Lepisosteus oculatus: one gene and its partner. The protein of the gene in region 1 interacts with the protein of each later gene in a pairwise test. Links are inferred from orthologs where the notes say so. Each region holds a gene or a part of one and is shown in the gene's direction. Other genes may lie near its edges. The genes, in order: srrm4 and zrsr2.

Region 1 (16,771 bases):
TCCTGCAGTTGTTTTGTTAAATATCAGTCAAACCAAAGGTTTCTATGTATCTTTCACTGAATGGCTGGCAGGGATACCCCTCCAATTTCTGATTTAAAAATGTATCGCTGAGCAAACAGATGTACAACAGATGTATATCAGTAATGACAGAGTTCCCAATACACTATGAAAACAAGTATAGGCAACAGATTTTCTCTGAGGATAATGATTGTAATTAACATATAACAAAACAAAAGAACAGTGTTTTATATGAGTTAGAGCTTGTGCAACGATGGTTCACTGAAAGATTATAAGATGGACCACAGCAATCTAATAAGGTATTGTACATTCATTTATATGTAGTAAACAGATATCAAAATGATCACATCTTCAGGTTATGATGAGTGTTATATTGTCTATCCATAGGCAAAACCTCTGTTCTTAACTCGCACCCTCTCCTATGAAATACGTTAATTCATATATAGATATAGTGCATAAATACTGGGACAGTGAAGTTAAACTTTTTGCTGTACCTTTTTTCTGGGTATTTTTGCACATATACAGTATGCTTTAATGTCTTATGGAGGGTAACAGATAGAGATAGAGAGATATAACATAAAACATACAGTATTTAACATATGTTACTGGCAAAAGTTAACTATGTCATGCAGTTAAACAATAATATGAGCGATAATACATGAGCAAATATAGCCGGCTGTCTTTGGCTGCTACAGTATCTTTGACTTAATATCCATAAACACATTGAATAATAAGTCATAAGACAGTTCCATCTCCTGTAGATTTGTAATTGAAAGAAAAGCCCATTAATATTCATACCCATAGTAGATAGATAATGCGTATATAGAAATAAATTTCAATCCATTATGGAGTATGTAACCAGGCAACAGCCTCAGAGGATAGGGAAGACCTTAAGCAGAAAAGAAAAAAATCATAACCTGTAATTAAGATTGAAATATGCTCACAGAAAAGTCATTACAGTGGGAATTTGTGTTTGTCAACACCGGTTCCATGAATCAGGTTAATTGATTAGATTATGACAGCAAATCAATCTGTGATGCTTTTTTTTCATCATCAGCTGCTCAAGCCCAGAGCATTAGAAAGGAAGTCTTAACAATAAACAAAAGGGAATAAGGCAAAGGCATCTGTTCTAGAAACAGGTAATTCTATAACTTCGACTTTGAATTATGCTGAGGTTCAACAACGGTTAAATCACACTTTTTCTGACAATATTTCACTTCAAAAACATTATAGGTTCGGCACTGAGAGAAAGAAAGAAGAAAAAAATATTTTGTCTGGAACCTTTTCGGGTACAGTATGTCAAACATGCAAAGATTATAACATAGAATTTGTGCTGACAGCTCACATTTTTTCTTCTTTCTACTTTTCAGCATGGAAATAACCCACAGATTCAACAACATGGCCAGGTAGCTTGTCCACTTGTATCCTCTGGTTTTTGTCACTGTTGATTCTATAGATGTACTGTATGCTGGGTGGACTTGCTCAGTACCTTTGAGGAAATTTAGATACTTGAATTGGGTCCCCTTTTAGTCTTCTCTATTTAAAAGGTTCAGTTCTTCCTCTAATTACTGTGTCACACATTGAAAAACCTATTAATATAACCTAGCAGAAACATAGCTACGCAAATTCTATACATTGTGTGTGATTAGACAGTCTTCACACACGAATGAATAAACCTACATCAAGGTTTATTCATTCATGTGCCTTCTTAGTCATCAATGTCTTTAGGAATGCAGAGGTATGACAGCCTAAAGAAATCATAAGAAAGAAAAAACAGTTTTTCACTATTTCTATACTGTATGTCTGTTGTTTTTGTATCTGCAGGAATAACTGTGTTCATACTTATGTCTTTCTTTTTGCAGACTATTATGTGATTACTAAATGAATGATAAAATTCAAATCCTCACTGAAGGTCTTGCCTATGATGTGTATGAAGCAAACTGTCACGTTAAATTCTTATGTTTATCAATCGCTTGACACAGTGAGTTTAATAGGTTCCAAAGAAGCACTGACTTTTGTATTTCTTTTGTTTGTACATGTTTCATTTTTCATCTCAGCCTATTATTTCACACTTACAGATACTGTCCAATGCCCCCCCCAAAAAAAAAATCAGCCAGAAAAACAGGTCTCCATGTTTGCTTTCGGACACTCTAAATGTTAAAAGTCAGGTCATTGCTTCTAGTAAAAAAAAAAGTTAAAAATACTTTCACTATGTCTTCCTATTTGATTGCTGCTGTTGTTTTTTTTTTATGCATTGGGTACCAATTAAATCTGTACCACCTGCTGCAAAGTACTAAGTCTGGAAATGAAAGGAGAAGCTTCTGTGATAGGCAGAATCAATTTACCCAAAATAAATAGGATGCCTTGGGTCAATTATTTGCTCTCCCTGCTGTCTCAGAAGAGTGAAATTCAGTCTCCTGTGTTCACTTAAACCTGTTTGTACAATGCCAGACAGTCTATAAATGAACTATCATACGCACACACCAGCTCCTTGTTTTCAGCTGCATATTTTTAGATTTCTGTTTCTACAGCGCGATTTCTACAGGGAAAATGTAAACATGATTGTCATCAGATATTATTAGGAAGCTAACTTTTTAATAAGCGAGAAGCCATGAGGGAAAGTGGTCAACGTTGATGCTAAAACACCAAAAAAGAGGAAAACCTTGTAAAGTCTTGTGTCTTTCTCTTGCAGGAAGAAATCTTATCTCCGATTCTCTTCACCCAGCAATAAATCTTCTGTAATGCATTTTATACATTTTAAAACAAAGCACAGGCTACAGATAAATATGAATTATTTTAAACAAATACTGTAAATATGGTTATCTTTGGAAATCCTCCTTTATCCATCCTCAACTGATGTAAAAATGATGTTTGAATTATATAGAACCAGTAGTAAGTAAATGACTTCTAAAACAGTGAGATATTGAAGTTATTGTTACCACACTATAAAAAATGTATGTTTATCTTATGTGATGCTTATGCTGTAAGCTTCTTTTTCTATGAGTGAAAGCTGAGTGACAGTGATGATAGTATAATTTAGTGTGGGGAAAGAACCTCTCACCTTTTTCTTGTTCAGTATCCGATGCTGTGCCTTTTGCTTTTGAAAGAGTACAAAGAGCACACAAAAATAACGGCGCTCTAACCCTTACTTATCACTGTCATGTCTCTCAAAATAACAGACTTATATTGACCCCTTCCTAGTACTTTATAAGCTTTTAGCAGTGCTGTTAAATATTACATTCAATTAAAGCCACAGCAAGTCTTTTACATACAGTACTAGGCAGGGTATTTTTATTAGTTTGACACGCTTCATAATTTATTGATTGTATGCCTTGTACAACCTCAGAGAAGAGGCAATTTAATATAACTTACAAACATATATGTATATTCTAATGGCTTCATCTATGAATTGGCTTCATATCTCTGTTCTCCTCCCCGCTAATAGCTGGTGTATGGGGAGTGTACTGGCGCACTATGGCTGCCGTCACATCATCCAGGTGGGGCTGCACACTGGTGGAGGGGAGTCCCCATTACCTGTAAAGCGCTTTGAGTGGAGTGTCCAAGCAATTATTATTATTATTATTGTCCCTCATCAACTATTTTGTGTTCTCATGTATTAGTGTCAGGGTTCTAAAATAATACTCTCCACTTCAGGAAATGTGTGGAGCCAGCAAATAAAAAATATTTTAAAATAACCCAGATATTGAGGCTTGTAAGTGAGTGAATGGCAGATCTTTAATGAATACAATAATGTATGCAATTAAAGGAGAATTGCAGTCCCAATTTCTCAGACTGGTTATTAAATCTCGTTAACACAATACTGTTAATTAATTGACATGGTTTCACAAAAAAAGTGTGAACTCTGTGAAAGTACTGTAAGTTGCTACTGTATGTTGTCACAAACAAGGTGCTGCAGCCCCTCCTGCTCACTAGTCACCATAAGGACTAATGTAATGTGATGTACTAGTGAATAAGTACAGGCTGTGCAGCAGACATTTCACCACAGAAATCTTTCAACTTGATCAGCATGCAGAGTTAACAAGTAAATAGCATTTGTCCAGAAAACTGTCTCAAAATTGAGAGCAATATTTTTATTGGATTAAAAGAGATATTCACAAGCCTGCTTATTTACAATGTTATAGGGCTGCATCACATCATCAGAAGTTTTATTGTCTCCTCCTGAATCGCAGAATATTGTGTTGCGCATACCTTGAAATTGTCTATTTTGTGATGTAAATTGGAGATTTTTAAAAGTTACTGTGTACTTTTATTGTGGTTTGAAATACACTCATCAATGAAGATAAAAACAGTGTTGCAGCTACCCTTTAAATAAAACTTGAGGATCATCACTGGTATTGCACAAATAATATATTAACAAAATGATGTCGCTTTAATTTACATTACTTCATATAATGAAAATAACAAAGATACGCGACTATTAATACAGTATCTCTTGCATTCAACAAATAAAATAGTTTTTATCCTTTTAAGGAAATACTATATGATTGACTATTAGTACATTCATTTTTATTCAAATATTCAGTTTACAGTGCCTTACATGCAGAAATTTGAGCTTTTTTGCCTTCCTACTGATTTTGATAGAAATTTGGGGGAATCTTTCACACTCTGTTAGCATTCACCATTTTGTCTTGGAGCAATGGACCTGAGAAAATATTTTCAGTTTTCCGTTAAGAAGCTGGCGAAAATGGTGCTGTCACTGTCAAGTCTAACTCCAGCTCAATTACCATTTACCCAGTCTGAGTCTCTTTAAGCTGATGTTCTGTGCTTTATATAGAGATACTCAAAAAAACAAATATACAGTTCATTATCTCTTGCACTTGTATGTAACAAAACAAGCAACTGATTTACAGATATGTAGCTACCATATATATTTTGTCTTCACTTTGTAAACCACATGTGGAATGACATTTTTAAGAAGATATACTGTACTGTATGTCTTATGCCATTGTAAATGCAATGTAGGTGTTTTTGAAACCTTCAATTAATCATGCTGTGTCAGAAATTTTTTAATTAGCTCAGGGACTGAAGTCTTCAAATCCACCTGTTTGTTAATTTGGTTCTCTTTTATAATGGGGGTTTACAGAAAGGTTTCTCCATCACTGTTGCACAAAACATCTCCATTACAAAATCTATATACTGTATCTGTTCCCGCTGCCTCAGCAAAAGTATTATCATGCTTTTTCTATGGGTCTTTTTAAGCCTAGTCTGCAGAATTGGATGCCAGTTAGTGTCAACTTAGGGAGTGATTGTGCGATATGAGCTCAACGGTTCAGGAGCACTTGGAAAGACAATTATGCATACTCCCCTTCACCCCTTTGTTGAGCCTTAATAAAACTTATGACAAGAACCAGTTTGCTGCTCTAAAAATACACAAACAGCAATTACCAAGGGCGGCCAACAAGCCTAAATTCACTTAGTGGAATTTTTCGAATATTTTTTAATGAAGGTCATAGACTCTCGTCAATGGTCATCACCTGATAGTTTCTGGCTTCTGTTTATTTAATTTGATCTGTGTTAATATTTATTAACAGAAATGAGATTCAGGGCACTGATTACAGATGGTACTTGGTGAAGCTCCCAAAACTGCAGGAGAATTGAGAAATCATTATAGAGCTCCCTCTAATTGAACAATATGAGAAATGTGAGTGCCTATGAAAATTGTCATGTTTTATTAATGCCACAAAATTTCCAAATATAATAACATTCTGTAGCCAGTAATTTACCAAGTACAGAACTGTAATGGGACCTTTGCTGTTCTTTCTGTTAAGAAACTTTATTGACATTAAATATAGATGCTTCTTACTTCTTTATTCAGCTCACAGATTGAATTAATGTTAATTATTTGTTACCAAAAAATCATGGATTGGCATTGCTCAGCTACTGATGTTTCTACATGAATGTTGGAGAACTGTAGAGAACATGTTAATATAAATCCCCTACACCTTATCTATCTCTGTAGCTAAGAAGCAGAAAGAGGGAGGGCTGGTGGAGAGCTACAGTATGCAGTTTAATTACCTAGGGAGATTGACTGCACAACATGTCTCTGCTCAATACCTCTGCAACAGCAAGAGGTGTAATTGAAAAGATTTCCTTTACTTTAACTGACTCATTTTGGAGTGCGACCGAAAACCGAGAAAGCATACACAAGCAAAACTAATCTAAAAAAAATATGAATCTGTAGAAATCTGACTCTGGCCTGGGGTCATAACTCCTGACCAGGCTTGAGTGAATTTTAAACCGACACCTGCTGTTGTACATGATATCTCAGAAATAGCTGAAAAGTGAGATAACATAATCAGAAGGAGCCACTAGACCACAAGGGAAATGATCACTCTTAAACCCCCATTCATAGCAACAGCATGGCTGGACGTACAGAGCCTATAAAACCCTCTGTAACACTGTTGTGGGAAATACGCCTTATATGTCTCCTTCAATGTTCTCAGGAAATCGCCATTTCCGTTACAATTAAACTAATCTCAAACCTTAAATGGGATTTGATTCCTGCATCCATACAAATCCAAAGAAAAAGCATTACGTTCTTGTGTCAGCACCAGTGCTTAATACTCATCTACTTGGCTGTTGCTTTAGGAATTCTTTCTTCCTTCACTTTGAAGTGTCAATGTGTGCACTTCTTCAAATGCCACAACTCGTTAGCATGTCTGACAATGAAGTGAATATGGTAGTAGTGTGAACAATACAGTTGGCTACTTATAGATCTATGCAGAATCATATTAGTCAATATTAGTTTGTGGATTCAGATTCCAGGTGGGGCCTCCTGTTGTACCCATGAGCTAGGTACAGTACTTCATTCAGACTACTCCACTAAAAAGTTAATCTGTATAAATAAATACTAATTTTAGTCGCTTAAGTTAAAACCATTACCCACATAAGACACTAAAAATAGTTCTTTATCCTTTCCTAAATGGTTAAACACCAACAGTAAAAGGTGTCCTTCTTCTAAGTTTAAATTTAGAAGGTGCACAGTACACGATTGTGACATTTTGGAATATTATTATTTTCAATAATATATATATATACACTGTATGCATTGAGGCTTGTTTCCTAAATGCTTAGGAAACCATTTTATGCTAAGGAAAAGAGTAAAGTTTCCCCATTTTTTGCCATCTCATTAAGTTTTTATTCTATGACCTAGTTCCCTCTGAAAGAAAGATTTGACAGGAAGGTTTTCTGCCTTGAGCAGACCTGATTGGGCTCAGGTGTGTGAGGTTTGTAGATTGAAAAGGGGTTCAAAAAAAGCAATTGCAAAAAACATGACCAAATGTAAATGCAATACCTTATCATCATATTTCAGACTGGACATACTGGAGTCATAGAATGCTCTGCTAATCACAGTTTGCATTTTAATGAAGGCAGTCAAAGTTAAACGCCCAGGAGCCAACCACATTACACTGTTGTTAGTAGCTTTGACGCATTAATCCATACTGCATTTTACACTTGGTAGTGACTTTCTAAAATTGCAAAACCTAAATACTAACTCAAGGGATCCATTGGAAGCAATGTGGTACAATTAAAGAATACTGGAAAAAACACAAATAGTTATTTTGAAATAACACTTTAGTTCTTTATTTCCTAATTACCATTTTGTGCCAGACCTAAGCATTGAGTAAATCAGAAAAAAGGACCCAAAGATTGTATTGAAAATGTTTATCAATTCAAAACATAAATACATTGAGTAGAGTCTACTGTAATATATTGTGTTTTTAGAGGCAACACGCTACACAATACACATGGAGATATGTAGTCTGGATAAGAAGACTATCTCTGTCTCTTTTGGGTTTAGGAGCTGGATGCTTTTCATGTATCTCTGCCAATATCTTTGTTTTTTTAGCAGATAAAATATGAACATATTCATGGCTCAAGATATGTGCTCTTTGGAACCTTAGGAGCCCTGGAAATGGGATCATAATCCAAAATTGTGTAGCAGACCACTGAACAAGATCTTCCAGTATCCAGGTTGGTAATAGAAATGTGGGCACTCAGCTGTAGTAAACCTATCTGCTATTGCTGGCTCCGTGAAATTCACTGTTGCATATATTTAGTGTACTGTATATTTTAGTGTTAAAATACTAAAATAAAATCCTATTTATAACATCTGTAAAGTATTTAAACCAATTTGCAGTTCTTTCAACAAGACAGCAACTAGCAACTAGGCTCCGTGAAATTCACTGTTGCATATATTTAGTGTACTGTATATTTTAGTGTTAAAATACTGTAAGAAAATCCTATTTATAACATCTGTAAAGTATTTAAACCAATTTACAGTTCTTTCAACAAGACAGCAACTAGAAGTTAAAAATATGTCGAATACATTTAAAATGTCTTGATTTATAAAAAAAACACTTATAACACTTTCACCACCACACTTTCTTGTAGCATTTTACATCACACATCTATGTTCAGTAAAGAAGAAAAAGTAGTAGTGCTTACTTTTTCAGTTTCAGACTAAAATCCTTTTACTGAATGCTTCGGCCTTGGTTTTTTAAGATTCCAGATAATTCTGATGTACATTCACTTAACACAATTGGTCAGTACCTTTTTTAATCAACGCCAAGAGCATGAAGCTAAATTGGAACATTATACTCATTTTTAACATGGAATTGAGCAAAAACAGATAAATGAATCCGTAACTTTTTACATCTATCACAGAGGATATCATAGAGCATATGAGGTGGTTTGAGAATTTGCTTTATCATAAGACAAAAGGCTGTTATTCTGGCTTCTCTTCCATCCTTGAGCACCTCTGGGTCAAAGAGAAATGACACACAGGCATTGTGGGAAGTTTCAGGCAATTCCCCCTGAGGCATTGTGTCAGGCACACGTAATGCCTATTCTCCAAAACCTGCTGCCTTTTGTTATGCTGATGGAACCAGCAGGCTCCGCTTTTTTGTTGAAGACTGAGAGACAGAGTAAGAGGAGAGAGAGAGGAGAGAGAGAGAGAGAAAAGACATCCTACTCTGGTGACCCAACCCCAGCTTCAACGTCAGAGCCTACAAGAGACAAAACAAGAGATCGTCAGCTGGGCACATACATCCACACACACGCACACTCTCCCAGCCACACGACACTACACTGTCCTTGGCTACGCACTGGCTTTCTCTTCGAAGCTCACATCCAGCGGCACGGACAGAGCCTCCGCAGACTGAACTCATGGTGAGTGGACTGGACACTGGCTTGCCTCCCCTGAACCAAGGCAAAGCAGGTGACAGCAAGAAATCCATGGGCAAATGAACAGAAGGCAAGGGATGGTGAAAATAATGATAACCCTTAAATAAATGGTGCGTCGTGCAGCCTTTGTGACATCACATTGTCTCTAGTGGAGCAAGCATTATCACATGGACAGAAAGACAGGAAACGGCAGTAACTGATTGCTCCTTGGCATTTGAAGAGACTTAAAGGCTTTTGCGGCAGCTCTGGGCTTCAGTATTTGGACAGCTCCCTTGCTCAGGAGTGTTGTGTGTGAGAAGCAGCAGCAAGCAGGCGGCGACTGAAGCTTCAGCAGCAGCCTTGTCAGCCACTTCCCCCCATTACTTCCAGCCTTCGGTCACACGAGCCCAGTCTGAAGAGCAGCAAGCCATGGCCAGCGTGCAGCAAGGAGAGAAGCAGCTCTTTGAAAAGTTCTGGAAGGGAACCTTCAAAGCTGTGGCCACTCCGAGACCAGAAAGCATCATTGTAGCCAGTATAACAGCCAGAAGGACTTTGAGCAAGTAAGTGCCTTCATTTCAAACCGATCCACTTAACTATACCTTTAACTTATGAGAAGAATAGGGCTATTTGTTGAATTTAAAACCGAACTTAAGACACATGGTTCGGATTAATTCGTTTCCTTGATTAATTTCGGATACATTTGTCTACTTTTTTTCAGTTAATTGATTCTGTCTGAGTTGCTGAGTGCATCATGTTATAAACAAAATATGAAAATAGAAAAAGGCCCAGAGGAACAGGCTGTCTTTAAAAGCTTTTTGGCTCCACACCTAACTTTCCTCATAACTGGCAATGGTTAATAAATTACACATCTTTGGGAAACGTCTGCGTGACCTGCCAAAAAGGGGCAAACTGTGTAAAAACTGCATTTTACCTACAAAAATTGATGAGTTTTCTGCCTTAAGATCTGAACTGTCTTCTGCCTTTGTCAGATATGAGCTGCTCTACTTATTTATTCTTTTTTTCACCAGTATCACAAAGGTGACTTGTTGGATTATCAGCAGCTAGCATTGGCAAGTGAAAAGTGATTTGTGATTCATTTCAAACCACTGTGTGCTCTGCCAGTATCTCTTATCCCAGCTTTGCTGTCTTTACATTCCGTAAAGATCCAGCGCTGACAACTCTTATCTCACCCAATCCTAATTCAGTCATTGGGAGGGCAGACCGTTATGAGAGGCTCATAAATGTTGACTGAAGTCTGCAGAAACCTTCTTTGCCATACAAAGTTGTAGCCAGTTTGTGTAGTTAGCAGATGAGCACTGCAGAATATAATACATTTGAGCATTACAATGTTTTTCAGGTCTTCCGATATTTTTATTTTTCAAACTATTCAGAGTTAAAACCCGTTTCTCTTTAAAATGATGACAGGCAAGCAACATTTAGTTGTTTTTTTCAAACCACTTGCATTATTTTAGAAATGTGGCTTTTATGTGAGTAAATAAGTGAATTAGCTTGTAAAATAAACATACTGTATTTCTTCTTAATGTTTTGAATCAGAGGGGGCATAAGAGACACTAAACGTTTACAAAAGTACTAATGATATAAAATTCCCTAACTGATATATGTATGTAGTTAGCTACTCTTTGAATGTGTCAATATATTTTCCTAAAAAATAAATATCAAGACATGACAGTTTGCTAATACCTTACTTGCTTGGTGAAGATGATTACTTGTTTTTTTTAGGTAAGCTTCTTATTTTAACAAAACTGACTGATGAATTATAAGCAATTTGTACAGAAAATGTGAAATAAGGGAAATACTCCCTTCTGACAGAATAAGGGCTTTTCTTTGAAACTAATCTAGTATTTCAATTATATATTCAGCTGCATTTCCATAGCATAGTATAATCCAAATTTAATTACTTGTGAGAGTGGTTTTCCAGAACAAGCACAACAATAATAAAGTCTGCCCTCTGTTATTTTCTTATTATAGCTATATGGTTTCTATAATTTCTCTACATAAAGTGTAACCGAGCAATTTCAAACATGAATCCTGTCTGAATACTATAGAATCCAATATATTCAGTGTGATAGTAAAACATCATACAGTATACAGTATACCCCAGTAAAATTATGATCTTCATTCTTGTCACTTTTGCATTGTTTGATAGTTGTGCTCGATCTAACTCACCTCTTGTGTGTTTGAGAGGATGTTAGCAGGTGTGGCACACAGATTACAAACCCAGCATCCTTTTTAAAAATCACATGTAACTAAGCCACCGTTAAGCTTTGGAAGGGTTTTCTTTCTCTTTATTGTATCCATTCTTAAATACACACTAGAACACAGAGAAGACCCTGAGGAACTTATGCTGGGAAAGATCCAAAGCCATTCATTGTTTAAAGGGAAATATCTCTTTCAACAGAATTTGTGGGTACTGTAATAGCAGATCGAAAGCATTCATCCCCACTGAGTAAGCAGGCCTCAATCTTCCACTTTGCTGAAGTAACATACTGCAGTGCATAAGCACTGAACTGGGCATTTGACAATGCTTGATAGCAGAGAAAAAGGAAACTACAGAATGGGGATGTGTAATTATTGCCCTTTCATTTTCTATGTATTGTCCTTTTCTTCAAACGTCACTGGAGCTGACTATAGCCTCCCCTGCTGACTGCCGTTGGGTAATTAGAGAGGTACCCCTCCCCCCACCCTCTTTCAACTCTGGGGGAAAAAAGGGTGATGTGTTCACGAACACTCCAGCTGGAGGGTTTCTCTCTGGGTCATTATATCCTGCAAGCTGTTTTGTACCAGGGTGAGGCTCATTAAAAATGCAACCAGTTTTGGAGGGGGAGAGAAGGTGGGGGAGGGAGGAGACCTAACCGGAGTTGAAGCAGATGGCAAGCAGGGAGATGGAAAGGGAGAAGAGGGGATGGCTAAGAGTGAGTGCCTCTTCCTGAACAGATGCTAGCTTGAAGAGGAAAAGAGTGAGGGGATTAAAAGCAAACTCCTGTATCAGCCTGATCTAAAGGACAAGGGATTACGTGTTCATTGAAAAAACATCCACCATGAAGGAAATTGTGTTTATGCATACACCCATCCATTATCAGCAAGCTGCTTATTCCTGGTTCGGACTTGTGACAACCTAGAGTCAACCTGCAAGCATTAGGCACAAGGCACAAGAGGGGATATCGGACCCTCAAAGAGTGCACAGACACTATTTACAGACACACATTAATGTAACTGGAGCACATGGAGAAAGCCCATAGAAACACAGGAAGAATGTGCAAATCATAGTAAAGGCACCCTATCCCAGAAGTAAACCCAGGACCCAAACGTTGTGTGGCAGTATCATTCGCTGCTATACCGCTCTGCTACCCAGCCAGGGCTAAATAGTGCACATCTCTTTTCTTTGTGTGTGCTTGCTTGACTCATGCTGTGGTCTAGAGTACTTAGTGGTAGTGCGGAGGATATTAAACTGATGAGTATCTATTTAGCCGGTCCCACACTCTACCCACTAAAACTTTGCAAGAACTTTTGTTCATCCTGTAATTGCAGTTGCTCAAGCACAGTGATATGTATTGCCGGAGCACAATCAAAATGATGTGCCTGAGCTGAAATTGTCATCATGCAGATGTGCATTGCTCAACTCAGTTAGACTTTACAGCGTCAAAGATGTTTTCTAAAACGGCATAAAATCCTCACTTTCCTCCAAGAGTCTGTCTTTCACTTTGCAAATGTTGAACTGGACTGTAGCATTTCTGGTTTTATACATTTCCTCTTTATTTGAAAGTTACTTATTTTTTAGAATAACTAAGCAACTGAGTGGTTCTGATGTTCAAATGTTTTTTTGTGCCTTTATACAAAATCTTCAGTATGAATATCCTTTAAGGCTGTTAAAATATAGTGCTTAATGGAAACAGAGATCAGAATTGTTTGCTTATTAAAATAATGCTTGATTCATGCTCTAAACATACAGTATCCCTTTATGAAGTGGATCCCCTTAAGAAAGACTGATAAATGTCCACAATGTCCTTTGATATAAGTCCCTTAAGATCTCCAAGCTTTATAGAGTAAAACTAGCAATGAGTTCAACCCAGCAATTTGCTGATTCAGTTAAGGATTAATTAAAATAAAGAGTTTGACTGCAACGCACACCACTCAGTGTGTGGGTCCCCAGGACGAGCATTAGCATTGCAACAAAAGGCACTGGGGTGCTGGTCACTTCACCCAAGCTCTTTTTATCCTGCCCTCTAACATAGGGAGAAGATTGCATGTGCTGAAAATGTGAAGTTGTCCTTGCGCTTTGTTTTTAATTAACAGGATTTTGATGATCCAACTCCGAGCAACAGACTTTGGTACTTTCAAAAGAAAAAAAACTAAAGAATACCTGCTCCTTTTCCAAAAGTCCTCTCTATGCGGTCCCTCCGTACAGGTTTGGAAAATGGCTTGATGGGTAATCAGCTGACTATTTTAAACCAAAAGCCTTTATTTTGATTATAGGACTATAAGCAGATTCAGCCTGACAAACTAGCCTCTCTTAAAAGGTGTCTCTTGTTTGTCACACCCTTATGTACCTGAGCACAGACCTTCATTGAGAACTCCTTTGCCCAGTTAACTCAGGGCAAATATACCATTGGCCTTAATCAACACTGGCCACCTGGGAAATGTAGTTTGTGCTTATGGGCTCACCAAGCCACTGAATTTAAATAAGCAAAATGATAAATATTTGATATATCTTAGATTTCCATAAAGACCCTCTCTGTACCCTTGTCCCATATTGTGCCACAATATACAGTATCTATCTGAAAATAAGGGATATACATTTTACAAATTTAGCGTATTCTTATGTACATTCTTTAGCAAGCAATAGTTTTAAGGGAAATATATTTCTTTTCACAAATGAGGTGGAAAAATCTAGTAGGGGAATATTTTGCTTTTGACACATTTTTAACTCTTCGTCTTGAAAACGTACTGTACAGCAGCCTGAATGAATAACGAGACGTAAGGCTAGTAATGTCTGATTGCACATGTTGTCAAGCACAGTCTAATTAACTGTGCTGCTATTATGTACCTGATTGAAAGCCTTGGAGGCATACTGCTTCTTTCAAATCACATTTTTGTCATTTTGGCTCCAAATTTATTCCGTTACTATGGCTGTTTATTAAATGTAATTACAAAGCTCTTTTAAAAAGCTGTTGGGCCACCCTTGAAAAATCACTTTTAAGTTTAAAGTGATTGGGTTCCACCTACACAGCATTTTATCCAGCATTGAATTTAAATAAAATTGACATAAAAATGGACCAGTTACCAATCCAATGGTCACTGTGTTGTACCAGAGAATATATCAGAAGAGTATAATGTGATGGCTACAGCTGTAATGATGAATCAAGCACAAACTCATTTTTATTGTGCAGACAGAATACATAGTCCTGACCAAGTACAATACAATAAGTAACAATTAGATTGAAACTATTTTTTAGCATTCGTTATTGTTTATGCAACAGTAAGTAGGCTCAAGGGAGAGACCACCTCACCAAACCAGCACCATTTTTTTGATCTGGGCAATCGATGTGAAAATATTCTAGATCAAATTTTGTTTTATTGTTTGGTATTTTGTAGGTTTTCTTTCTATTCCAGTATTAAACTAACTGCAAGCTTTCCACAAATACTGTTTTCTTGTACAATGTACTGCACCAGAGTCTGATTGTAGTGCTGTGTTCTCCAGTTCAGAGCTGAAAAAGATTGAAAAGCAATTAAAGTTCAGCGTGGCTGTTGGTGTCTTGCTATTGCAGTGCTGAATGGCTGACATAGTGGCCTTCAGAGGTTTAAGAATAACTCCACTCTAATCTAATGGCAAAGAAATTCAGAGAGTGGGTGGTAACTGCACTGTTGTTCAGAACAGTTCCCTTACCACAGCAACACAGAAAAACTAGTCAGACATGGAGCTGGACAACCAGACAGTAAGACAAGACAACCTTACCAGACAGTAAGACAAGAAGTAAAAAAAAATATTGAGCTGAATTATAACAAATGAATGTACAAAATCTACATCTGTATATGAGTACAGCTAAGAAGCAACATTTTATTCTTCCAATTTAATTTCATTGACAAAGATTATTTTTCATTTTCATAAAACTATTACTCAACTCAATGTCAACACTAATTATTTAATGAGAAATGTTGGCATGTTTTTAGAACATGTTACAAATGGAAACCTTTGTTTGAAATATTAGTACAGCTGAAAATATGACTATATTGTGTAAGATCTTTTTGTTATTTATCCTGGTAATTTTTTAAACAATTTAATTAAACTAATGCAAGAACTGTTATCTATTTAAGAAATCTGAGTTAGTAACTTGGCATTTTGAACTTCGGTGAAAACTTCACATCACATTTGAACTTGTGGGAGTTCTTTGGAACATTAAGGAATATTTGGGAGGAACTTAGCATGTTATGAATGATTTTGAACAAATTTGGACTTTAGAGAACTTTTTTGAACATTTTGGAAAACTTGTGAGCTGAGGAAGACGTTTGAACACTCTTGCTTAATATTTTACCTTTGGACTCTGTTTATACTGTATACCAAAAGATCTTTTTCTTACTTCTTGAAATGCTCTCTCATCATATTTCCTAATTAAGAGTAATTGGCGTTCCAATGACTCATTGTAAGCTCTTCACAGAATTCTTTACTGTTTCTGCCCAGCAACGCTGCTTGTTTTAATACAGGTACTAGGACAGGAAAGCTTACTTAAGCTTTTACTATGGCCAATTAAACGAATTGGACAAATTATTCTCTTTGTAGTTTTTTAAATCAAATCTGTCATCTCTGTTTTGAGTCTATATTTAATATCTATTACTGGACTATATTCACTTTTATTTGATTGAAGGCTGCATATATACAGTACAGCTCGAAATTACTCTATGTTTCAGATCTTTGAAAGAACTAACGTTGTTTTCCTGCAGTGTTGGCTACTATGCAGACCCAGCTAAGATTTAGTCATTCACTAAATATTTCTATACTTAATGACATTTCTATCAGATGTGGACAAGCACAAAAAATTTATATATATGTATATTTCACTGAAAAGCTGATTCAATATTATATGGATATGAAGGATTTTCTGGTAATATAACAGTTTATTGGAATACAGTACTGAAGACTTCAAAAACAGGATTTACGGTACTTAATATTCACAGAGTGCAGAAGCATACAGTATTACATTTTATATTTATAATAGTGCTGTTAGACATCTGAATCATTCAGTGTTCCAAATTATTTTTCAAATTATCGTAAAGGCTTCTGCATCTTTTAAAACAGAAACAGACCAGATAATTCACAATAAAATATTCACTTCCTTGTCAGAGAGATCCCTTGCAGAAACTAATCATTAAAGCAGTTTAACCAACCTTCACACTGTCTTAATGGATTATTAATTTATGTGGCTGGCATGCTTATCCAAAGCAACATACATTTGAACAGCACCACATATTACAGGAGAAATAGGCGAAAGGTACCTAGTTCAACAGTGTACTAACTGTTCCCCATACAGAATTTAAACCTGATACTTTCTGA
Region 2 (16,010 bases), on another chromosome or scaffold:
TGTGGATAGGAGGCAGCAGTGATCATCTGGATCGTGTTCTCACTCACCATCTGCCACACTTGCATGATGTTGTCCTCCGAAACGGAGCAGATAACCCACGGCTCATTGGGGTTCCAGGAGAAGTCAGAGATCTTGGCTGTATGTCCTCCATGGATAAACTGCAGATTGAATACGTTCATTGGTTTAAAAAAACTGGTAGCCCTCACCGGATCCAGCTCCCATATAGATCAATCGGTGTCGGTCATCACCGCTACATTCATTCTCCAATGAAGACTAACAGTTAAACAGCACCCTTCACACTACAGTGTTTTTCTGCCGACTGAGGGGTGTTTCAGAAAACAACTGGTCCTTGTTTGTAACAGGGGGGTCACTGAAAAAATGAAACACTTGCAAAGAGTATTTCCTCCTCTAAAGATGGGGGCTCAGATGCCAGCTGGCATATCCCATAGGTCTTTAGCAATTGTCTTCCTGGTTCACTGACATGGGCTGTATCGTCAGCACCAATACAACATCCACTTGACTCTGGAGACTCGGCCTTTCATCACGCCTTACCAGAAGCTCAGGAGGTCCATCTTCTGCATCCTCTGCTGACTGCTCCTCTCCAATTTTGCTGCACAGACAACAAGGACTTTATTTTTGATGCCGTTTCAAAAACTGAACTTAACATTTTAACAAGGTGTGGGTTACACTACAGAGTAGAGGTAAAATTTGTGGAGGTTTCAAAATAAAATACGACACTTTGAAAAATGGTATCAGCTGAGTTTTCTTCACCTCTTCGAACAATTAAAAACTGCAACGCTAATATTTTCACTACTCATCACATGTACTGGCAGTAACTGTCAAATGAGAAAGCCTACCTTAGCTCTGCAGCCTTGCTGGCTTCCAGCAGGACTTGGGACCCATTTTAAACAGTGTTTCTTTAGGATTACAGTTGTGGATAATTAGCCAGAAACATTGTTTAGCTTTTTTTAAAAAGACTTAGTTTAAATGCTATGATTTTACATGAACAAAAACAGAAGTCAGAACTGACCACTAACATTCCTGAACATCTACAATTTAAATCAGACACTAACAGCAGATACATTCCAGGTCGATATCTCCTTAAGTTGCTTTCAATGGGAAATATGCTGGTTTTATACACAAGACACCAAGGTCAAAAAGAGAAAGGGCAGTTTCACCTCAGATCCCAGACGTTAAGCCTTCTGTCTGTGCCGCTGGAAGCCAGAATGGTTTCGTTGTGAGGGGACCATTGCACCTGCCAATGAAGTCAGTAATTCACTGTCAGTGCAATAAAGCTCAGGCCAGCATACGCTTCTGATTGTAAATGCACAAGATAGCCCTCTGTAGTCTTGAGGAATTGTGATAACACAACAATACGTTGAAAAAACAGTTTAAGTTAGGGGCTGACCCTCAAATACGTGGGCCAACCCAGAAGTCCCGATGTTTTTCTGAGCAATGTTTTATTGCAATTGACTCCATTATTTCCAACTTGCGGCTCCACCTCCGGGATATAAGCGCAGAGCTCAAACTAGCCGAAATGTCAGCCGTGCTTTAAGCCGAGAGCTGTAATTGAATTTGTGAACAAAGGAAGGGGGAATGCCCATAGTGATATGAGATATAGTTCAGATCATGTCCACTCTGCAGGATTCTCTACTGGGGCATCTTTTTCAATCAGAGGATGATGTGAAGACACTGTTTTCACAGAAAGATAAAGCTTTCTTGATGACGGTATAATAGCAGCTGCTTCTGCACTTTATTGCCATTATGGTGTAATTGCATTCAACTATAATAAATCATTTCTCAGAAAAATAATCGGGAGCATGACTTTTGCTGTAATCCTTGTAATTTCTCAAATGAACTAAAGAAATGCTATCCCATACCCCATCACACCATTCAACATAAGAGTAGACAATAAAAGGTGTAATGGTTTATGTGCAACTGCTATCGGAAGGTGATTTATAGAAGTAGTAATATGTAATTTACATGGGTTTAGTGTAATTGGGAGGGAGTCAAGTTACAGGGTTCTGGTATAGTTGTACTTCTACTGTTTGTAAGTCTTGAAAGGTTCTGTGTGGTAAATAAAGCAGTTCTCAGGAACAAAGGCTTGTCACTTCCCATCTAGGACTCTGAATTAGAGCCTCTCTAATTTGGAAACCAAGGAGTAGACACCCTATCCAGTCTTTGCTTTCTTCTTTCTATGCCACCCTTTATATTGAGTATTACCTGGAATATCTCATCCTTGTGCGACTCAAAGGAGTGAAGCTTCAGTTTGAGGTTCCGGAGATCCCAGAGGGCCACCGTCTGAAGAACAAAATCAACTGAGACCAGAGCCACAGCACCGCAACAGCACTGTTCGCAAAACAAGCAGGGCATCTGCATTTGATCTGTACTTTGAGAGCTCAGATATTAAACCGCAAAGGGGATCCCCCCCCCGCAAAAAAAAATTCTGGGTACAGCTCTTTTGTTGTCAGTTTGAGTTTGAGTGTTTTCTTTGTGGTGTCCTCCAAATACATATGGTGAGCACAAAAAATAAAGCACATTCCATCGGTTTTCTTTTCACTGTTGTACACATCTCTATAATTTAAATGAATTAAAATCCTATCTAAGTCAAGAGTCATAATATTGAGCAACAGGAATCCAATTTCCTCCATGCAAAACCCGATCCACACCAGCCAAGGGTGACAGACGACGGTGCATGTCATTGTCAAAATGATTAGAGACTGGTTTACAATTGAAAATCCGTTTTCTGCAGCAGCTCTGTCACAAGGTGAAGTATATACAAAGGCTGCAACCTGATTTCCTGTGACTTAATGTTAAAACACAAATAGGCAACAATGGTAAGATTTCAAGATGGCAAGTGGTGGAGCAGATGGAAGCTTTGAGGATGGTAACCACCAAAGCATTTGTGCCAAAAAGAGCACAAACGCTTTCTCGTGACCCTCTGCCGTACTGGAAGTAAAGCGGAGGACAGACGTCCAAACCTTGTCAGCGGAGCCGGTGGCCAGGATGAACTCGCTGTAGGGGTTGAAGGACAGGCAGTTGACTTCCGCAGTGTGGGCGTCCACAGAGTGACTGGGCTTGGACGTGTTGTTAGACCGCGTGTCCCAGCTGGGGAAGACACACCAGTCGTACGGTTAGTCGCAGGATTTAGGAAAAGGTTACAGAACCGGACAGTGCTGCACAGGCTGATTTAGCCTTTGCAAAACGCCCCCCCCTCCGCCTAGTTTCTCTGTCCGTATATCCTGAAGAGTCCGCCTGGATCTCCAGAGATGGTGTGGAACGGTGGGAACGCTCATCCGCACTCACATCATCAGCTTCTGGTCGTCGGCCACGGAGCCAAACAAGGACTCGTGGAGCAGGTGCCAGGACACATCCTCCACCACCGCGGTGTGGCCGGTGAAGATCGTCTTGGCATCGACGATCTTTCCCTCCTTCGGTCCTCCGCTGATGTCCCAAAGGCATATTGTCTAGAGCAAGAGAAGAAATAGCCATTTCAGATGTTTTAAAAGCGCAAGAAACTAGCAGAGAAGCTAGAGCCTTGTTTTTAACCCCGCCCCTTCCTGGAGCGATGTGCAGCCTATTACACCCAACGTCACGGCACAGTTGCTCCAGCTCCGTAATACCATTTTGAGCCAAATGGAAAGTTTGGCTTAAACTGAATCTATGAAACTTTACAGCACTGGTGAATTAGTGAACTCACAGGAAAATCGTCAAAAGATCAAGGTACATCTGGCCCTACAGCCACCACCTCGTTCAATGCTGCTGATCTGGCATTTGGAAGTGCCGCGACGACGCGACCACGGCGCGGCGGTCCCCGGGGGGCACTCACGTGGTCGTCCGACGCGCTCAGCAGGTTGCCGCTCAGGTTGGGGTTCCAGGACAGCCCGTAGCCCTCCTTCTGGTGACCCCGCAGCCGCAGGTCGGGGTTACACTCGCCGCTGGGGTCTGCAGCAGCGCCCGGGGCAAGGAAACAGGGCGCGTTACAGCCGGCTTCGGGCAGCTGAGCCCCGCTCCCCTCGCTACGCGCCTGCGGCTGCAGACTCCACTGCCAGCACCGCACAGCCCCGGGGAGGCAGAGTCGGTGTTCAAGCATGCGCAGGAAATGGGTTCTGCTTCCAAATTCAATTTGCTCAGCCCCGAATCAAATAGATATGAATTATGTATTTACACAGATGGAGACCCTGTTTCAGCAGACCCAGGTCTTCACTCCACACTCACACTTTCTGCTTCCAGCTGTTACCTGCAGCACGTCGCAGCATGGCTTGGCTCCTCACTGCCCGTTTAAAACTGTAGCCTTAAAAGGAAGGTCGCTTATTTTACCAGCTAAACAAGCTCCTGTTGTGAGATGTATTATTAGTTTCCCTCACAGATCCACACCTCCTTTACTTGGTAGAAAACTGCTTTGAAGGGGCCCATTTTGAATACAACTGAAAAAAGTCCACGTTCACTTGCCTGGTTTGGAGGGGTGTTTGGTGTAGTCGAAAACCAGGACATCTGAAGTTGGCGTCTTTGTCGCGATGATGCAGGGATTCTGTGGCATGTACCTTGCCCGGTTCACTTCTCCCTCGTGATTGATCTTGATTTCAATTTCTATCTTTCCACTCACTGATCCAAATCCTCCAAATTCTAAAGAGAATACAAAAATAATTAAAAACAGGAACAATAAATGTGTTGCAATTGAATCGACACTGTTAAATGTTTTTTTTCCTTTGATAAAAAGCACCTGTCCTACAACATTAAACCCGTTACATCATACACAAGTAGCTAAATGCTTAATCTGAAAGAAACCCTATAGCAATACAAAAACACAGTAGAACAACAAATCCCGAAAACAAGGAGGCCAATCATAAAAAAAGCAAATGATCTCTGTGCAGTCAGGACTCTATCATATGATTTCTATGACTACGAAAAAAACCTTCACAATATCTCAAGTTCAACTGGAAGCTAAAACACACACAAGCATCACAATAATGCAGAGGAAAACGACTAACTTCATAATGTTCCTGAACAAAACTCAGCTATATATTTTAACACAATTACAGATCTTTTGGTTAATTTTCCCATGTTAGTAAACATAGCCAATGAACAGCTGGCACCTTACTCTTGCTAGGGCGTTTCTCAAAAAGAGTAGGGGTTTCAACCCCTGTGTCCTGGCCAAATTTCCCCCTGGCCTTTACCAATCATGGCCTCCTAATAATCCCCATCTATAAATTGGCTTTTTTTTATTACACTGCTCTCCTCCCCACTGATAGCTGGTGTGTGGTGAGGGTACTGGTGCACTAAGGCTGCCGTCGCATCATCCAGGTGGGGGCTGCACAACGGTGATGGTGGAGGGGATCCCCATTACCTGTAAAGCGCTTTGAGTGGAGTGTCCAGAAAAGCGCTAAATAAGTGTATATAAATTTAAGGATAATTTATTCCAGATCATGTTACCTATAGCCTCACTGCACAGGGAAGGCTGGAGAAGGAGTGCATCCCAAAATCTCCAAAAAGGGCGGTGCGCTCCCCAGAATGTATAATACTACCTCAGGAAAGGTGCTCATTTTGCGACTCATCCCCTCCTGTAACCTGGGGTGTGTGCTGGCCGTGCTGACTGGTGCCCCACAACCCCCAGGATCTTTTCCCTCTGCAGCCCAGCTGAGGAATCGCTTACCTGCTGATAAGGGGAGAATGAAAGAGCGTTATTTTATAGAAGTTTCACAAGTCCACTTCCCTTACACTTTTCTAACAAAAAAGACACACTGAAGGGTAACGTTAAAAACTAATCTGCAAAATGCTGCATATCAAGCTTGATAGAACTCAAGGACACCTACAAAAACGTTAAAATCCGACTGCTCTCGTACCGGAATCCGACAAGGTTCCTCTGCCATTTCACGTTTTTCACTTCACCAACCTATAAATCGTGACTATAAAAATTCCTCAAATTTGATGGACCGTATAGGACTGAAATATGACCTTTTTCTATCGGTCACATTTAACCACTGTACCTCCAAATAATTCAGTGGTCAAAAAAATGAAAACAGATCATTGTTAGAAGACGGTAAGGAAAAAAAAAAGAGTGAAACATATTTATAGTGAAACAAAAGACAAATCTCCCATGAAACAACATTACAAGTTACACGGGCACAATATTTAACCTTTACAAAAGCCACCTAAAAATGAAACACCTCTTCATTCTCGTTTGGAAAGAAATAAATCCCATCTTAAAGGTTTCTTCCAATACCAGTCTGGTCCAGATGCACAATTCATCCTTTCCTCAGCACCCTTGCTTCTCCTATTCAACCATCACTGCTTCTACCAGATTTAAGATCTCGTACATTCGCTCTGCGCCAATCCCATCCCCAATCCCTCCTCTTTCCTTATATCCCGGCAGCCTCTCTGCTCATTTTCTGCAGGATAATTAGCTGCTCTTCTCTTCCCTCTCCTGCCCCTCTCTTCCCTTGCTTCACCACTGCACTGTCTCAGACCTTCAGCTGGCATCTCCCAAAGACCCCCTTGCCCAGGCTACACCTTTAGATTCATCCCTGTGCTCAGAACTGAATGGAAATAGCAGACTTTTTGTCTGCAATTGCTTTAATTGCAGAATGTACTTCTACATCCTCTATTGTTTTCAATGCAATTACAAAATCTGTCATCTGCTTAATAATAATCATCATCATCATTAATCTGACACTACACACTCTATGGGGCACACCAGCCTGTCTCACCTCCTTTTTCGCTGTCATAGTGGGAGGTGTCAAACTGGGCGTCGTCATTGGGGATCTGCACGCTGGCGATGACCAGGTGGTTCTGTTCATCTGAAGTGTGGGTTCCCAACACCAGCCGATGAATGGCATAGTCCTTCCCTTCAGGCCTTTATATACACACACACATACGACAGTCATGAGCATTAAAATGAAAGTACCTCTTATAAGTCATAAAAATTAAATGGAAACGGGAGAAACTGCACTAAAAAAGACCCGATTAGGTACTATTCTTTTTTTTAACTATTTAAGTAAAGGAAGTCATAATAAGTCAGGATCTTAGTAGAATGTTTTGTCCAGAGGCCAGCACCTCTTACTGCGCATCTAGGTCACCACACTGGTCTTGACAATCTTGGTTGAGAGGAAGGTTTCCCACCTACTGATTTAATAACACCCCTTAGAGCAGCAGCCTGGTTTTCCTCAGGTGCCTCCCATCCCAGGACTGACCAACCCCAGCCTTGCGCAGCTTCTATAATCTGACAAGATCGCCTAGAGGGTGGTAACAATGCAGTGCATTCTGCAAATGGCTACACTACTGCTTTATAGTACATTTTCTGGGATATTTTTTTCCACCATGCCTCAATGGTGCAAGATGTTAATGTTGAAAACCCAAATGAAAGCAGAAGATCATTCCAAATAACTCCTGATGACGACAAAATGCAAACAGTATTGCATTCTGAAGCCACCACACAGTACGGAGGCCTATTAGCAAACCCAGAATTTACTTGGTCACAATGACATATACAGTATAAGATCCCTAACAGTGATCCTTAAACTGAACTTAATCCTTAAGTTCTATTTCTGTCCCATTGAATTGGGCCCCATTAAAACACATTGGCTTCCAAACATGACTTACCTATTGACGTCTGGCAGCCACTGCACAGTCAGGCTTGGCCACTCCAGGGCATGTGTCATTACAAGGTCATACAGGAAAGGTGTGTTCTTCTTCCAGATCTTGTACTCCTCATTAATGACCCTCTCTTCCACTGCATCGTCATACACTGCAAAACACAGTGGAAGCTGTGAGACACTGAAAAACCATGCATTTTCTCAAAAGAAAAACAGAATTGCAGCTCCCTTATGTCATCCGCCTCCCACAACCCTCAGTATCTTAAAATCAAGGAAAGAAAAATGCTCAGCTAACACTGCGTGTCTCTGTTGACATCTGGAACCTACAAAGGCAAACGGCACAGCCTTCTATCCCAATTCCCACATAAAGGAGAACACAGGACACAAGGGAGAGAAACCCTTTCAGACCATACAGTTCGCTTGGTTGCTAAATGGTGATTGGTCAGAGGATCTCGTCCAGCTGTTCTGTGAAAGATCCTGGGGTTGCAGATTCAACAACATGGCAACAGGCTTGTTCCAGACTCCCACAACCCTTTGTGTGCAGAAATCACTCCTGTTCGGTTGAACTGCACTTCCCTTAACCAAACTTAATGATGTGCATTTTAAAGGCAGGGAAACAACTCCCCCTCCTTGAAATTAGTTGCTAAAGGAACGATTCTAAATGTTCACAGTACATGTTTTATTATTATTATATTGTTTTTTTAAGCCAAGATAAAAGGTGTATGCTCAAGTTTAAATTTGCCATCGACCCTCAATCTCTGGTTTTGATTTCCATTGCAATAACTGGATTTCTGTAGAACTGTATCTGCGTCAATCTTAACTCTAGACAGACATTCAGAGTACCATCTAAATTAAACACAAGAACCATATTCCTACGCAGCCCCAAGGAAGGGATACAGTAAGCAGAGTCACTTTAATCTTCGAAGTATTTGCATGTGTGTTTTAGAGGGAAAACAGCACAATCAGCACTCTGTTCTACACCAATCGCAAAAACAAAGTTCCAGTTCTAATTCTTTTCTTATGCTAGAATTTTTAACAAAGGGGAGTAGATAATTCACAACACGAAATGTAACGGGATATTTTAAGGAAATCAAGTCAAACTCCGTTTTCTATCCACTTTCCAACTTTCCAAATCTCCAGCGGAATTTTTAAACCAATTTTTAACCAATGCAGGGTCTCTCGGGGTTGTTTTCCAGCGGTCAAAACAGAGAAAAAAAAATCAGTCGACACCAGGATAAAGCAACACGCACAATAAAGGACAAGCATGCCCCTACTATACCTTCTTTGTCCGCCATTACTCAGCCCTCGTTGTTGGCGAATATACGTCGCGAATTAAGGTATTACAATGAGATACGCTTGCTCACGGGAAACAACGCCGCCTTTTATTTTAGGTTTTATATGCGCCAAATATTAATTTTAGCATCAGTCTCCTGCTGTACTCCCCTTTCAACAATCCGCGCCTGTACGTCGCCAGAGAGCCAGTGCGCTTGCGCCCTCTCAGACCACAGAGTTCACCGCACAGGCGCCTGAACCTGCACAGCTCAAAGAGGGGAAGTTGGGCAGTGTTTGAGTTTTTAAAGAGCGGGCCTTTTCAGTTTTTTTTCTGACTCGGCAATGGGATACGTTATCAAGACGTTTTTGTGCTTCTTATTGATGAGTACCACCGACTGTACAATGTTCAATGAAGAACTACTGTCTCGGTGTTAGATAAACCGTAAAATCGTTTAGAGAAGATGATTGAAAGCCCCTAAATGAGGATATACTGTAGTCCATTCATTAATACCACTGATGCCATTTGTTAAATACCTATAACTGAATGAACTGAAATGGAACATATAAAGTTTAAAATAGCACATATAGCAGTGTATGCTGATTATATCAACAGCTGATTTTTCTTTTCCCTGTCAAATTATGCCCTCAGAAAAATAAATCAAAACTTTGTTGCACCAAAAACAATAGTGGGGTGGTATATTTTTGTCAAAGGTAATATAAGCCAATCGATGTAGAAGTTATTAAAAATGTGGGTCTATTAAAAGCATTACAGCTCGTCTATGACATTAGGAAATCGGTTCACTTATGATCCGGACGTGACGTCAGAAAAACAAAGATGGCAGCGCCCGTGGTAGCGTTGACGAATTCAGGACTGAGGTAGTATTTTGAATTGTGAATAAGAGTAATTACAACAGGATTTCTCCCATTTAAATTGAACCTAAGCAAGCACTGATATGTATAAACTAAAACGAAAGTTTGATGTGGTGTAGGGATTGTCTTTGTTTTCACGTAGAAAGGGTTCGATTGGAAAGTACGTTTATGTGACAACGCAACTACATAAATTAACTGGTATTTCTTTGCACTAAGAGTCCTCAAATTAAATATTGCTCTGTTTTCTTTGAAATATATAATTTACTTTAGAAATGTATGATATATGCACATGAAGTACTGCATCCCCTTACAGGCATCTTAATTTGTGGTCACAGAATAGTTTACTCGGATGCAAATAAGTTACCGATAAATAAAATAAGATTTTGTTATAAAAAGGAAATGGAGCAATTATTTGGTTACACAGGCGAAGGGTAGTGTGTTCCTAAGTGTATGTGTAAATAACCACTTATTCTCCTTTACAGCCATAAACAGCGTAGAGCCGCACTAAAGAAAGAGAGACGGAAAAAAAAGCGCCAAGCCTTGGCGAAACTGAGGGATTCAGGTATCGCTTACTATGTTGTGTTTAATAATAAATGGTGTGTTTGCAAACAGTTATATTTTAGGCATTTGGTGTTTGCTACAAAATTGTAAGGTTAAGTTTTCTGAATATGTATTTCTTTTTTTCTAAAGAAGAAAAAATTGCAACTCCTTTTGCATTTTTAGAAGTAGGAGAAGAAGAGGAAGCAGAGAATGAGACTTTACCAGATCAGGATGACGAAGAGGAGGAAAAGAGGGCTGAAGAAGAAAGGTTCGTCTCCCTAGTCCCATCTCAGCAGCTACACATAAAGACGCTGCTCTTTGTCTAGATATTAAGCCAAACTCATCACGTTCCTCAGCTTTTTCCATTTGATTGATGTTCCTGGAGATGGAGATGTGTATGTTCTGTCTTACCTCACCTTTGCTGGATCGACTTCCTTTCTTTTAAAATAAGACAGTGTAGCCAAATGCTGTTGTAATGCTTACCTGGCTTAATAGTTAATAGTTATAAAGCCTACCTGGTTTAATATACATTGAATTGATGCTGTCACTGTAATGTTATCAAGAGGTTTTCACTTCCTGGTTATCACCTCACACCACCTAGAGAAGGCGGTAAATATGTGGTCTCTTATATTTATATTCTATTAATAATCAAGAGTGAAAATTATTTTCCTCTTTGCTGTTTAGGCAACGTCTGCACTTGGAGTGGTTGGAGAGAGAGAGGATTGCTCAGGAGGAGTTCAGGCTGAATGAGGAGAGGGAGGAAGCAATAAGAAGGAAAAAGGAGGAAGAGGAGGTAAATTCAACAAAACACAATGTACAGACAGACTTTGGAGAGGAATTAAGACTTCATGACAGTATGTTTAAAGAAAATATACCCAGAACTCTTCCCCTGTTGTACACTGTTATGAAGTCTTTAAAACTATCTTAAACCTTATATGGTGAAATAGAACTAATGCTAAGTGACCAGCATGTATATTATTTACTTTTAATCGGAAAATTAGATCAGAAGAAGCATATCATATTATCCTTGTATGGTTTTAGAAAAAAAGTGTATGGATATTGATTAAATATTTTGGGTGTCTTTTTGACTAAATGATCATTCAGAACATAATGTAATACCCTTGGCTGACCATAACTGTGGCACAAACACTCAGTCACTTGATTAGAAAGTTGATTGGGCATAGATGTTTTTGGTATTTAATCTATTAAATGTCAAACCTATTGAATATCAAGAAAAAAACAAAAGATCAATAACCTAAATTAACTTGTCAGCCAAAATGAACTTGTTGGATGATAAATTTAGCAAGGTTTTGTGTGGATCACCCCGATGTGACTCAGATATGCAGTAATATATGCAAATTGTTCACAGCAGACCAGTCAATGTGGTCCAAATGTAATGGCTTGGGCAGAAGTGTCTAGTTGTTACAAGATCCTACTACATCCTGACTATGTCACTGCATCGGTCAGGTCCTGAGACCTCACTTGCTGACCCTTCTGCTGAAGAAATTGAAATATATCATGACTGTTCAATGAAATGTCAGTATATTTGCCACAGAAGAAATAAATATTTTCTGCTAACTTTGTGAACTTGCAGCACTCAGTACATGCATGAGTTACAGATTGCAGCTGGAGGATAATAGATAGCCATTATGGCAGTTAATCTCTTTGCCCAAGGATATCCGAGAGTCACCTTCTCTAAACTCCTTCAAATCCAGACTCAAAACCTTCTTCTTCAGAAAAGCCTTTACTTAACTGGTTCCATTCTTAACCCCTCTGCTCTTCTTAGTACCACTTCCACGGTCTCCTCTATTGTTATTGTTGTAATTGTAATTGTGTCTTATCTTGTGAAATCTTCTTATCTATTGTTGTAGTCTTCTTATTGTTATTGTCATCCTGTAAAGCGCTGATACTTGTGTAAGTAACACCTTTCATTATAAATGTGTTCTTTCTGTTTTTATTAGCTTATGGACCTTTCTAAACTTTTTTGGATTTAAAGTGACTTTGTTTTATTCTTGTTGCAGAGAAGAATAAAGGAGGAATGGGAGGAGCAGCAGAGGAAAGAGCAGGAAGAGAGAGAGCAGAAGCAGCAGGAGAAGAGAGAAAGAGAGGTGATTCCTGCTCTTGGAGGATAGCTAAAGAGCAGCATATCCTAACTGTTTCTGTTAGTTCACACATCACATCACTTTCAGTAACTACTTATCCAATTCAGGGTCACAGTGGCCCAGAGCCTGTCCCGGGAAGCACTGGGCATGATACACCCTGGATGGGACGCTAGACCATTGCAGTGCACACACACTTACACTGGGGCCAATTATAAAGAAGACAATTAACCTGTTGGCATGTTTTTGGGCGATGGTAACTGGAGTACCCAGAGTAACCCATGAGCACACTGGGAGAACATGCAGGCTCCACACGGATGGCAATCCAGGGCTCCAGTGTTGCAAGGCTCAATGCTACCCACTATTCCCCTGTGCCATCCTCTCTTAGTTTAGTGATTCACTAACTCTCCACCTGATATTTTTATTAACACGTGAGTAGATCTGTTGTCATTACTGATTGGTATTTACATTTGAGTTTTAGAATGGTGTGCTGTTCTAAATTTTGAACTGGGTCTCAAGTCTGAAGGCAAGCGATTCTTTACATTATTTGTTTAGCATTTGACTTTATAAATAGAACTTGGTAATATAGTAATATTCTATAGTAATATAGAAATATAGTAATGTATGATAGAATATACGAAGACTTCATTTGAATGCCTTGCAAAACACTGTACATGACATGAAAAATATCAGAATGGCTCTCTCTGACATTTCAAAAATATTTATGTATTTTTGCTGTCTCCATAAACAAAAAATGTTAAAGCTGATTTTTTTTTAACAATCTTAAGAAAATTGTTTTATTTTTCTGGAGTAAGCTGTGTTCCATTCATTGCTGATCTTCCTTAACCAAGATAAACTCAAAGAGATACTGTACTGCAGATCACCTGCTTCCCCTGGATGAGAAAGTATCTTTTTATTTATAAAAGTTTATAATGCAATTAGGTTTTCTGCTGTTATTGTTTGGCTAAATAGACCATCATGAATTATTTTAGATTTTAAAGCTAAATATACTGATCTCAAAATAAAATGCATATGTTTATCAATATTATTCATCATAACTGTGTGGAAAAAGGTTTGCATTTGAAATGAAATACGCATTAATACCACTGTTGCAGATGCTTGCTTTGATTGAAAAGCTGAAAACCTCTCAGAAAGTTGGGCATATGCGACCATGATATGTGTCCTAAGTACTTTTTTTTTTGCTTTAATGGTTGTCTTGACTCAGACTAATTTTGACTGTTTTATTCCGTACATGTTGGAAAACTTTTAAAAATTATGAGAAATGTACTTCTCCTTTCGATAAACCTGTTTTTCAGTTTTTAATATGAAAAACGTTTGCCAACATTTTAATTTTTATATACTAAAGAACCAGAGATTTTATTTTTAACCCATTTAAAACTATAAATATATGCACAACATAGATATTTCCTTGACAGTTTCAGCACAACTAGATTTTGTGTTCAGCCCTCATTATTTCACATGTAACATGAGGTCCTTGTGAAAGCACTCTTCAGTTCGCTGAACCATGCCCAGATATATGCAATCAAGGTACTTGTACTGGGCCATTTTGGGGGGAAAAAAAGCAAAGAATTAAAAGTAATAAGAGCTTCAGACCTCAGCAGAGGAAATTAATTTGATTCCTCTTACCTATGGGGTGATACCAACTTGTTTTGTAGTATCCGTTGGGTGCTCACATTTTCAGATTTCTCCCAACGTAGCAATTCTTGAAAGGGTCTGGATCTTCACACTCTTTAAAATGTGATCCATATTCATTCTTCAAAGATATAAGCAATGGTCTGAAATTAGTTTTGTTCATCACAGAAGCCTCTAATTATCTGTCAAGCTGGGTGACAGGAACACTGCCAACATCTAATAGTGCTCATCAGTTGGCAGTAGAGTCAGATATTAAAGCGCTGTTGTTGTAATCCATAGTGCCTCCAGACATGAGCTAAATCCAGAGTTAGCTCGTGCCATGGAAGATGTAAAAGAGTAAAAGATCTTTATTGCAATAGAATTATTCGTATTTATTTTCATGTCTTTTTGTTTTTTAACGCTGCTTTAAGGTAGATATAGTTGAAAGAAACAAGACTGAGAGGCAATTGCTTAGAAGTTGTGTTCCCTGTGAAGAAAATGCCCAAAGGGAGCTGCATTTTGTGTACAGAGTTGTGAAAAATAGAATAGAGTTTTAGCATTACATCCCTCGTAACTCCAGACATGTTTGTAATATAAACACAATAAAAGGGTGAAGAAAATGTGTGATGGGGAAGATAAAGTGATAAAGTATATTAAATGGTCCAGAATGTTCGTATTTTAAATGTATTAACTCAAAGTAGATAAAGAGTTGAGTGGTCAGCTGTTGTGAAAATAAATGTTATCTGATAATAAATTCCATATATGAGAAATGTATTTTTAAAGAATCTCTTCTGTAGAGGTTGAGGGCTTTACTGCCTAATGACCAGATTGTAGTATTGATGCTACTGCCCACTGAATATGCAGTATTTAATACTTCTGTATTCCTGTGTTGGGGCATATACTTTAACTGTTGCTGTTACTGTGATGTTTGCTACATATATATTCTTAACCAAGGTTAACAGATATCTGCTAGCCCACTTCAGGGTCTTTACCAGTCCTGTGTTTGCACCATTTGTAGGAGGCTGTGCAGAAAATGCTGGATGAAGCAGAAAGTCAGGTTGGTATAATATCACCTTTGTTGCTTAATGTTAAAACCAACATTGTCTTTTATTTCTGCAAGTCTACAGTAGTCTGTTTTCAGCACATTCTTGGTTATTATCCTACCCTTAAACCATGGAGAATCCTCACTTCTGTTAAAATTTCCCTGGAGGTTGTATAACATACAATTGTAATACGGCTGTGTACTTTATCAATACAGTGTGAGCTCTAGAAATCCATAAACACTGACTTGGGAATTTTCATTTGTGATTGCGGCACAGCTAGGGAATGGTGGTACATGGGTGAACCCTGAAGCACCAGAGGACTATGGGACAGAGAAAGACAGGGAAAACTGCCCTTTCTTTCTCAAGACAGGAGCCTGCCGGTTTGGAGACAGGTACAGTGTTGCTCAGTTTCTTTTATGTTTGCTGTTGTGCCTTAAAAATGTTATCATTAGGTACAGAACTATGCATTTACAATCTGAGAAAACGAGCAGGAATTACATCCCTCATTCGCTACAATCAGGCACCATCTAAGATCGGAGAAACCAAATATATGGCCGCTTTAGGAGAATACTACCTGCATTTTGTTTTTGTTTTCTGTGCGCTAGATAGATCCACATTATTATAAAAACTGACGGTGAACATACACATTTGAGAACAGGAATTTGAATGCTTGTTCATTTTCTTACTGGTTTACCGTCTTGTCCAAAGTATTGCACCTTTTACAGCAGGGTAAAAAACACACCCGAAGAAGAAAGAAACACAGCCTAAACGTGTTTCTTTTCTTCTCTTTTCAGCATGAAATAAACCTTTACCTGTTCCTTTGCAGAGTAAAAAAAAACATATGTGAGATGAATTTGTGATTTTGAATATTTAATTAAATTGTCATCAATGTTCTCCTGACTTTTCAGTTTGTGGAGTAGTTGACATAACCACTGCAGCAGACTGATGCGGATAGCAAAGAG

The links.
Region 2: the proteins of srrm4 (region 1) and zrsr2 interact in binary tests that used the Homo sapiens proteins (3 or more experiments, as listed by UniProt). The link is inferred for Lepisosteus oculatus from reciprocal best matches to the Homo sapiens genes SRRM4 and ZRSR2.

Annotation. Positions count from the first base shown.
Region 1 is NC_090717.1:4,261,256-4,278,026, reverse strand, and holds the start of srrm4 (serine/arginine repetitive matrix protein 4), read left to right. Parts: upstream 1-9,040; 5' UTR 9,041-9,633; coding exon 9,634-9,764; intron 9,765-16,771. UniProt on the Homo sapiens protein: Splicing factor specifically required for neural cell differentiation.
Region 2 is NC_090710.1:20,146,628-20,162,637, forward strand, and holds the start of zrsr2 (U2 small nuclear ribonucleoprotein auxiliary factor 35 kDa subunit-related protein 2), read left to right. Parts: upstream 1-9,636; 5' UTR 9,637-9,699; coding exon 9,700-9,740; intron 9,741-10,216; coding exon 10,217-10,296; intron 10,297-10,424; coding exon 10,425-10,542; intron 10,543-10,958; coding exon 10,959-11,067; intron 11,068-12,295; coding exon 12,296-12,382; intron 12,383-15,023; coding exon 15,024-15,062; intron 15,063-15,324; coding exon 15,325-15,440; intron 15,441-16,010. Other genes in the region: rbb4l (histone-binding protein RBBP7), read right to left, coding at 48-158, 553-610, 1,179-1,258, 2,224-2,301, 2,982-3,108, 3,307-3,467, 3,830-3,945, 4,453-4,626 and 3 more. UniProt on the Homo sapiens protein: Pre-mRNA-binding protein required for splicing of both U2- and U12-type introns. Selectively interacts with the 3'-splice site of U2- and U12-type pre-mRNAs and promotes different steps in U2 and U12 intron splicing.